3 linked regions of the Macaca mulatta genome follow. The protein of the gene in region 3 purifies or fractionates together with the protein of the main gene of each other region. This does not show direct contact. Links are inferred from orthologs where the notes say so. Each region holds a gene or a part of one and is shown on either strand. Other genes may lie near its edges.

Evidence for each region. The genes of interacting proteins can lie anywhere in the genome.
Region 1: the proteins of PARD3 (region 3) and PARD6B purify together in Homo sapiens (affinity purification with mass spectrometry; 5 studies listed by BioGRID and IntAct, counting the BioPlex papers as one, with this or other methods). This does not show direct contact. The link is inferred for Macaca mulatta from reciprocal best matches to the Homo sapiens genes PARD3 and PARD6B.
Region 2: the proteins of PARD3 (region 3) and PRKCI purify together in Homo sapiens (affinity purification with western blotting; 5 studies listed by BioGRID and IntAct, with this or other methods). This does not show direct contact. The link is inferred for Macaca mulatta from reciprocal best matches to the Homo sapiens genes PARD3 and PRKCI.

What each region holds. Positions count from the first base shown.
Region 1 is NC_133415.1:103,610,983-103,613,816, reverse strand, and holds part of PARD6B (partitioning defective 6 homolog beta), read right to left. Parts: intron 1,854-2,834; coding exon 1,024-1,853; 3' UTR 1-1,023. UniProt on the Homo sapiens protein: Adapter protein involved in asymmetrical cell division and cell polarization processes. Probably involved in formation of epithelial tight junctions.
Region 2 is NC_133407.1:82,016,398-82,020,129, reverse strand, and holds part of PRKCI (protein kinase C iota type), read right to left. Parts: intron 2,171-3,732; coding exon 2,055-2,170; intron 1-2,054.
Region 3 is NC_133414.1:35,768,636-35,772,367, forward strand, and holds part of PARD3 (partitioning defective 3 homolog), read right to left. Parts: intron 3,195-3,732; coding exon 2,812-3,194; intron 1-2,811. UniProt on the Homo sapiens protein: Adapter protein involved in asymmetrical cell division and cell polarization processes. Seems to play a central role in the formation of epithelial tight junctions. Targets the phosphatase PTEN to cell junctions.

The DNA.
Region 1 (2,834 bases), on a different chromosome or scaffold from region 3:
CACACACCTGTAATCTCAGTTACTCAGGAGGCTGAGGCAGAAGAACTGCTTGAATCTGGGAGCTGAGATTGCACCACTGCACTCCAGCCTGGGCGACAGAGACAAAAAAAAAAAAAAAAAGAGAGCTTCCTGAGCTTTATAACATGGGAAGCAACTCCTAAAAACAGCCACGTGGTTTGATTCTTAGAAACTGGAAATGCACTTGAGAACATCATTTGTTACAATTTATTAGAGAGGAACATTAAAAAAACAAAAATCAAAATAGGCTGGGCATGGTGGCTGTAATCCTAGCACTTTGGGAAGCCGAGGCAGGACTGCTTGAGCCCAGGAGTTCAAGACCAGCTTGGGCAACATGGCAAAACTCTGTCTCTACAAAAAATACAAAAAGTAGCCAGGTGTCATGGTACGTGCCTGTGGTCCCAGCTACTCAGGAGGCTGAAGTGGGAGGATTGCTTGAGCCCAGGAGGTTGAGGCTGCAGTGAGCTGTGATCATGCCACTGCACTCCAGCTTGGGCAACAGAGTGAGATCCAGTCACTAAAAAAATAAAAAATAAAAAATAAAATAAAATATTGGGAACATAAGACCTTTAAGAGCTGAGGTCCCCAGTGTACCAAAAGAGAGAATCAGACTTCACATTAGAATTTTAAAAATACAGTTAAAGGAAAAATTAACTGGGCTCTGCACAGCAGGTTAAATATGCAACCACTTCCAACAGAAATGATCTAGTCTTCTCGCATAGTTCCAAGAATGTGCTTTAACATCTGATTCTCCACAGACAAAAAAGTAAAAGCACGTAACTTCATCAGCAAAGGCCCCTTTGTTTTGGACTTAAATTCACCTCTGATCCACCAAAGTTTATATTAACAATTACCAGACTACTACTTTAATAATATTGTAAGCTTGCAACGTTACTCGTCTCATGCCTATTCCACGTCACTGGTCAGAGGTATATATGCTTTTAAACTAGCCAAATGTACAAGTTCTCATGGCATCCTCACTCTGAAAACATTCAAACAATGGTTTCATAATGTTATGATTGTTCCATCTTCTTCTAAGAGTTTTTGATCTGGAGCATGTGTTTCAAATTCCGTGTTTGAGCCACTTGCTATGGGTGCTAAGCTCACTTCATTAGAGGGAATAAAGCCATTCTGTCCAGACTCAAAGCTTAGCTCTATCTGTGTTAATGACTCCAGGCTCTCGGTATTAGGAACAGCTTTTGGAATCTGCTGTGGCACTCCATTGTCTTCAATGATAATGTCATCTTCATCGCTGTCTTCATCCTCTGGCTCACAGCTTGGTTCAATGTGCTGTGGGGAGCCAAGAAGGCTGTTATCGGTAGACTGGCCAGAACTGCCAGAAGTCCGACTGTTCCTCACAACATTATTCCTCTGGTTTGCCGGTCTCACTGTTATGATGAGGTTACGGCTATTTGCAATCATCATGTCTGTTACTTGATCAAGGCTCTTCCCTGAAACTTCTATGCCATTAACTTCTAAAACTTCATCATTAACAGCTAATAGTCCTGTACTTTGAGCCAGACCTCCTGGGACAAGCCTGGATATAAAGATCCCTGGAACCTTTTCCAAGCCATGTGGTGTTACCCTGACACTGGAGCCATCCCGGATGTAGAATCCTAGGGGTTTCTCAGTGCCATATTTGTAAAGACGTACCCTACGATGTGTTTCTGGAAGAATATCCACGTCTATAATAGAAGACACAGGTCTAAAGTCTTGGGGCATACTAATGACTATATGTGGCTTTTTTCTATGGTTGTCAGGACGCAATACGTTGGTTAAAACATTCTTCTTCTTTATTAGCGTGTCTGTACCAAAGGCACTGTAGTCTGCTTCTTCTGTTTAAAAATAAAACAAAATAATTATAGAAATGCTGTAAAAATATCTATTCACTTGCGGCAGAATCTGTACAGAAAGGATAACTCAAAATATATTTGGTATATAAACAAACTAGCTAATAAGCTTATTTGCTAATCAGATCATAATCTAGTACAGTAGTAAAATGCCATACCAGAAAAAACCACTAGGTGGCCATCTCAAATACACATCACAAAATAAACCAATGTTGAAGTTAAATTTGATAGAGCTCAATCACTATTAAACATTAAATATGGCAAATGAAATTATGATAGATCTTACGTATTCTTTTTTTTTTTTTCTTTGAGATGGTCTCACTCTGTCGCCCAGGCTGAGTGCAGTGGCGTGACCTTGGCTCACAGCAACCTCTGCCTCCTGGGTTCAAGCAATTCTCCTGCCTCACCCTCCCGAGTAGCTGGAACTACAGGTGTGTGCTACCAGGCCTGGCTAATTTTTTTTGTATTTTTAGTACAGACAGGGTTTCACCGTGTTAGCCAGGATGGTCTCGATCTCCTGACCTCATGATCCGCCCACCTCGGCCTCCCGAAGTGCTGGAATTACAGGCGTGAGCCACCGCACCTAGCCAGATCTTACATATTCTTAAACATCATTAAATATATATGTATTTTTCCTTTTTTTAAAATAGGGTCTTGCTGTGTTGCCCAGGCTGGTTTTGAACTCCTGGCCTCAGGAGATCCTCTCGCCTCGGCCTCTCAATGTGCTAGGAGTACAGGTGAGAGCTACTGTGTCTGGCCTTAAAACATGATTTTAAACCAGCTTTTTTTTTTTTTTTTTTTTTTTTTTTGAGACGGAGTCTTGCTCTGTCGCCCAGGCTGGAGTGCAGTGGCCGGATCTCAGCTCACTGCAAGCTCCGCTTCCCAGGTTCACGCCATTCTCCTGCCTCAGCCTCCTGAGTAGCTGGGACTACAGGTGCCTGCCACCTCGCCCAGCTAGTTTTTTGT
Region 2 (3,732 bases), on a different chromosome or scaffold from region 3:
TTTCTCCTCCAGTAGACAGGACGCTTTTGGGGAGATTAGACTGTCTTATCTTTGAATGTCTAGTATTTAGCATAACGCCTTTTGCTCAATAACCATTTGCCATTTAACTGAGAGTCATTTAATTAGCTGGTATCTATGCTACAGGGCTGGTTGAAATCTCCAAGGTACAAACTGCATGAAGCAAAAAGAAGGTTGTCATGAACAGAACCATGAAGCATCCTGGTCTCAAGGGGACAGGGAAAACACATGAGAGAAAAGTAGTCACAGAGATGAAACAGAACCAGAATAGGCAGTGCCACCCAAGGCAAAGCCATGAGGACCAAATGCTTTACATTCATCAAGGGAGGTGAGGACTCACCCCAAAATGCTTTACAATTTAGAAATTAAGAAATTGATTCAACTTTCAAAAGCTGGAGGACAGGCTCAGTTGTAAGGGGTTGAAGTGTTGACAGAAAAAAAAAAAATTCAAGACAATCAACGTTGACTAGTCTGAAGAAGTTAGATTAGAGGTGCTGCATATTTATTTTTCTTTGACCATGAACATCTATTGACTTTTTTTTTTTTTTTTTTTTTTTTTTTGAGGCTTCAAGACGAAATGAAAATGAGGAAAAATGTGGTTGTTCAAAGAGGGACTATGAGTTAGGGGGAAAAAATCAGAGAATCTGAGCATGCTTACACAGAGGGAAGCAAGCTAGAAAAAAATAAATCTAAGAAGGTCCAATAACAAGATAACTGACAAAATGAAATATTGGAGAAAACTACAGAAACAGGTCTAGGAAAATAGGAGGGACGCTCCTTGTAAAGGAGAGCCTTCCAAGAGTAGGGAATAAGAAAATGTTGAAAAGAATTAGAAAGCAATTCTGAGATGCAAGGTGGTCTGGTGACAGCTGGAAAGGAGGCAAGGTCACGCCAGAGAGGTTATCAGTCCTTGCATCAAAATAAGACAAGGTTAATCCTTTAACAGTGATGGAAAAAGGAGTAGAACTGAAGGCTTCTGAAATGAAGAGACTGTTTGGAGCAGGTGCTGGGAGAAATGTGGTAAGAAATAAGATAGAAGTAAAATGACTGCCAAACAATAAGGGCCTCCTTGAGATTAGAGAGAATGAATCTGTAACAACAGGTAAATAATCAAAATATCCCCCAATTATTTTAAGGTATATTTTTAAAAGATGCAGTATAAGTACAAAAAAATATATCAGCTCACTGCTGGCTGGATTTAATAACTCAATGTAATTCCTTAAAAAAAGCAATTTGGCAATACATATCAAGAGCTTTAAAATGTTAATACCCTCTGACCTAATTCCCTTTCTAAGAATCTATCTTAAGGCAATACTCAGGAACTTAGACAGACAAAGACAGTCCTTGTCAAATGGGAAACAGTGCAGCAGGACAGAGAGATTTGGGTTTGAATCCTGACTCTACCACCTGATAGCTGTGTAACTTTGCTTAACCTCTCTGAGCCTCAGTTTCCTCATCTGTAAAATGAAGATGACAATTTAACTAGTTTACAAAGTTGTTGTGAAAATGAGATAATGCACGATAAAGCAAAGGAGAAAATGACAGTTACTATTAAAACTTATAATAGTACAGTGGATTCAAATACCAGTAACTGAATGGTTATATAAATTATAGTATAGGCCGGGCGCAGTGGCTCACGCCTGTAATCCCAGCACTTTAAGAGGCCAAGGTGGGTGGATCACCTGAGGTCAGGAGTTCAGGATCAGCCTGGCCAACATGGCAAACGCCGTCCTTACTAAAAATATAAAAATTAGCTGGGTGTCGTGGCATGAGCCTGTAGTCCCAGCTACTCAGGGTGGCTGAGGCAGGAGAATCACTTGAACCTGGGAGGCAGAGGTTGCAGTGAGCCAAGATTGCACCACTGCACTCCAGCCTGGGAGACAGAGCGAGACTCTGTCTCAAAAATAAAATAAAATGAAATAAAATAAAAAATAAAAAAATTAATAGTATAATCTGATCATGAAACATTGCATAGTCACTAAAAATGGGATTTCCAAAAAACTTAAAAAAAAATTTCAGTGTACAGAATTACTTACTCGTCATCTGGAGTGAGCTGGACAGGTTCATTGGTAAACTGAGAATCAAAGTTGTCCAAACCAAATTCCCCAGAAATATTTGGTTTAAAGGGAGGTACCACCTGTTTTTGCTCCATCTGAAAAGACATATTGGATGACAGCTCAAGTCTGTATTATTAGAAAAATTGCACCTCTACAGTTCTCCTCTGCACTCATTGTTTCCCTTATTAAAGTGAGTCCTGAAGCACGGTACAATGATATTAGCAATGATGAACATAATTTACAAATATGAGCTGGGCATGGTGGCTCATGCCTATAATCCCAACTGCTTGGTAGGTTGAGATGGGAGGACCACTTGAGGCCAGGAGTTCAAGACCAGCCCGGACAATATAGCAAGACCCCATCTCTATTAAAAAATTAAAAATTGGCTGGGCACAGCAGTTCATGCCTGTAATCCCATCACTTTGGGAGGCCAAGGTGCGTAAATCACCTGAGGTCAGGGATTCAAGACCAGTCTGGCCAACATAGCAAAACCCTGTCTCTACTAAAAATACAGAAATTAGCCAGGCGTGGTGGCGTGCACCTATAATCCCAGCTACTCTGGAGGCTGAGACAGGAGAATTGCTTGAACCTAGGTGGCGAAGGTTGCAGTGAGCCGAGATTGTGCCACAACACTCCAGCCTGGGAGACAGAGCAAGATTCCACCTCAAAAAAAACAAACCAAAAAAAAAAATTGAAAATTAGCTGGGTACCATGGCTTATGCCTATAGTCCCAGCTACTTGAGAGGTTAACACAGGAGGATCTCTTGAGTCTAGGAGTTCAATCAAGGCTGTCGTGAGCTACAGTACAGCCTGGGCGATGGAGTGAGACTGTTTCTCTTAAAAAAACAAACAAACAAACAAACAAACAAAAACAAGTATAAACATTGATATGGGTTTCAATAACATTATAACCTGCTTTATTACATTAATATTCAATTTTTTGGCTGGGCACGGTGGCTCACCCCTGGAATCCCAACACTTTGGGAGGCTGAGGCAGGTGGATCACTTGAGGTCTGGAGTTCAAGACCAGCCTGGCCAACATGATGAAACGTTGTCTCCACTAAAAATATAAAAATTAGCTGGGCATGGTGGCATGTGCCTGTAATCCCAGCTACTTAGGAGGCTGAGGCAGAATTGCGTGAACCCAGGAGGCGGAGGTTGCAGTGAGCAGAGATCACACCATCGCGCTCCAACCTGGGCAATAGAATGTGACTCCATCTCAGAAAAAACAATACATTTTTAAAAAAAGGATTTTTTTTGTTTTAAAAGTTTTCTAAAAAGCAGTTTAGAAAGTGGTTTTAAGTTTTTAAAGCTGTGATATGTTAGCTAAGACAATAAAATTTGGCCCAAGATAGGCCAGGTGCGGTGGCTCACACCTGTAATCCCAGCACTTTGGGAGGCCAAGGTGGGTGGATCACCTGATGTCAGGAGTTCGAGACCAGCCTGGCCGACATCGTGAAACCCCCCCATCTCTACTAAAAATACAAAAATTAGCCGGGTGTGGTGGTGCGTGCCTGTAATTCCAGCTACTTGGGAGGCGGAGACAGGAGAACTGCTTGAACCCGGGAGATAGAGGTTGCAGTGAGCCGAGATCGTGCCACTGCATGCCAGCCTGGGTGACAGAGCAAGACTCTGTCCTAAAAAAAAAAAAAAAAAA
Region 3 (3,732 bases):
ACTCTCCTTTTGCAATACTAATTTCTCTGAACTATGAATGCTGACTGTTGTAGGAACCTCAATACTATTAAAATATCAGCAATAACCCCTAAATCTGTAAGCTAAAAGTTCAGGCAATGACCTTTCAAGGAAAGATAAGTAGATATCAATTTTCATTTAACAAAGCCAACAAAACACTCTGCACTGACTGAAACAGATTACTGACCTTCTCCTTTGACTTTATTAAAAAGCTAATTTCTACAAAAGAGCAGGGTATTTGAGAATACCAAAATGGCAATAAATATTAAGAAATCATAATTATGGAAGCAAGTACACTGAGGCTATTCTGTTGTCATGTTATATAATATAGATCCAAAATTAGGCCAAAGAATCATTATACCGACATCTTTTTTTGTACTAAGAGTTGATCCCAGTTTTTGAAGAATTGCTGCCACTCAAAGCACATTAGCTCACTCTGAACCGAATCTGACACACCCTATGTTTTTAATGTACTTCACTAATAAATGTAATAACTGGTAAGAACAAATCTGCTAGCTACAAGGAAAGCCTGTTCAATTCTCCTACAATCATTATTATTAAAATATATGCATTTAGTCCAAATCAAAGATAATCTACATTCTTCCCCACATTTATACTAAACACAATTTTTATATAAAATATTTGTAAGTATTGGTGGCATGCACAAGCAGCATGTGTTTTTTGTCATACACTCTCACAGTTGGTAAATTAAAATCAAGATAGATCTATGGGACTCTATATCATTAAGATTATTCAAGGTCTGTGAAACACTTAAAACCATTGTTTCTCCTTACAGTGATTAAGCACAATCTTTCTAAATTAGCTTGTGTAAATGCAATCATATTTTTCATTAAATGCTATTAAAATAAAATCTGTATTCAAAACAATGGTACTTTTAGTGGCAAATCACCTCATTTAAAAAGTTCATGTTATATCATGATTTGTCAAATATCCTAATTTTTGAAAAACTGTAATTAACTAAATGAATACTGCTGTATCAGTATAAAAAGGAAAAGATATTTATGAACCAATATCTTTATGACAGTGGTGAAGCAAAATACTATACCTTTTAGAGATCTCAAGCAGAATTTTATTTTTTATACAACTCTATTTGTGGTTCTTGATATGTTTTTGGTTAAAAACAAGGGCCTGTCATTTAAGTAGAGCAAAAGGAGGAAAGCGGATGTGATATTTCTCTCATTTAGGAAGTGACAGAGCCAAAGGGGTTTCTGTTGATATGCCTCTGTGTTTGCAAGGAGGCAAGCTGTCAACTCCTGATCATGTCAATCCAGTATTTAGAGCTTAAAAGCCAGTAACCAGAAAAAGAAACTTGAGGTTCACATAAAGTTCAATGAAAGAATATGACTTAGAAAGGAAACAGCAGTCTCAGTATTTACAACCTTGTAAATGCTACCCCAAATGGAAAGAAGAATGGTCTGAATATCTGGATATGGAAAACATTCTAGTAAGAATCTGTGGCCAACAGCCACATGACCTGAGGAAATAATGAACCTCTCTTGGAATCATTTCCATCCAACTATAAGAGTTGATGGTTGAGCCTATAAAAATAAATATTCTTTATAATAATACCATTTTGAAAGACATGATTTAAAAATATATCAAAATGATCAGCTAAAATGGATCATGAACAGTAAAAGTATATCTTGGTGCCTGGACCAAACACTGGGTGAAAATCATAAAGTCAAGTCCAATAGTTTGCACTCAACTTTGAAGGAGGCAAACTGCAAGAACATGCTCTCTATACACAGAGATCCACTGTATACAAGAAGGGTACTAAAATACATAAATGGCTGAAAGATGCATGAAGAATTGGTAATCGCCATCATGACTTCCACATCACCATAAGAAAGAGAAGCAGGCCTGGACATGGTGGCTCACTCCATAATCCCAGCACTTTGGGAATCCGAGGTAGAAGGACTACTTGAGGCCAGGAGTTCCAGATCAACCTGGGCAACATGGCAAGACTCTATCACTACAAAAAAATTTTTAAATGAGATGGGCACGGCGGCACATGCCTCTTGTCCCAGTACTTGGAAGGCTGACGTGTGGTGCTGTGGGCTACAGTGAGCTATGATTGTGCCACTGCACTGTAGCCTGGGCAAGAAAGCAAGGCCCTGTCTCAAAAAAAAAAAAAAAAAAAAAAAAAAAAAAGAGAAAAGAAAAAGAAAAGAAAAAGGAAAGAAAAGGAAAAAAAAAAAAAAAAGAAAGGGAAGTAATGCAGTAATTCAAGAAAACAAAAGACAAGAGCCAATGGCCTGGCTTCTCAGCAACCTACTAAAAACTCCTGGCAGCCTCAAACAAATCAGTTCCTCCCCACACCAAATACTAGGATTGATGTGCACTACCTCTCAAGTCTTCTTTGAGGGCTAGACTTAGACAGCAAATGGGGCAGTCAAAATGGTCAAATCCTTACTATTGTTCTGTGTTTGATATTAATGTCCCGAAGCCATTTTCATTCACAATCAAAAATTTTACTGCAGTAGTAGCTGCTATCTTCTTCTCATAGACATATTTTAAAGTCTTATTCTCTGCACTTTTACATTTTAATTTCTACAGAGCAAAATAAACCTGAGACATATAAGAAATACAATTTTAAACGTGTTAAAAGGTAAGTAGCTTTTAAAAATCTATCAATTCTTTCACAAAATAATGAGATAAGACTTAGGGTGCTTTGGGTTAGTAGGTTGACTTTTAAAATAAATTCCATTTCAACCCTTGTGTGTTGCTACTAAGAAAAGAAATTCCACAAAACAAAAACAAGATAGGTTATACCTTTCTTAAGCTGGATATTAAGCCTCTTGCCTATTTTTTTGGTGTTATAACCACTGCTTACAGTCGCACTAAATACATTCTGAGGTGCCGAGGCTGGAGCGGATGGTGGTTTTCCCGAGGGGTGTGCGCTATGAGGTAGTCGTGAGTGAGAGTCTATCTGCTCAGGCGGGTGGTTCAGTCGGGGTGCTCTCTGCACCGTGTGAAGCCCTGCACTGTTCACACTCCTGTTGTCAATATACTGGCTGTCAGGGCTAAAACGGCTTGAATAGTAATTGTTCTTCTCACTTTGAGATAGTTGTTCATACTGTTCTTTATTTGCTGCAGGAACCACATGGAACCAAATGATGGGTGTACGCATGGCTTGGCGAAACATATGTTGTGCTCTGGGTTTGAGAAAGAATAGAAAATTAGCAAATTAAGACTGGCAGACTAGAAGATATTATGAGCTTAATTAAGTATACTAATTAAGCAATAAGAACTGACAGGCTGTTGAAATTGAAAAGCAAAATTCTAATAACCCATTTATCAATCAAGTTTGTAGCTCTGATCTACGAATAGCTGTTTCTTCAAATATAAATTTCTCTTTCTCTCAATAAAAATAAAAAAATTATCTACAACTACAGAAAAAATTCTGTTCTCTCAATTGTAAATCATTAAACATGTTTTAAGTACAATAGAGGTATTATAATTTCAATAATAGAAACCAAATGGAACCTTCTCTTTACAACATTGTCTAATACAACTTGTAGACATTACAAAATATTTCCATTTAAGTTTTCAAAGAAAGAGCTTTATAATTATATATAGAATCTTGGATTGGGTTAGATGTGTATTTAAAATTTTTAAAATACACACACGCACACTTAGAAGGCTATAGAAAGTAACTATTAATTATCTATTAAGTTGATATATGCAAAAATC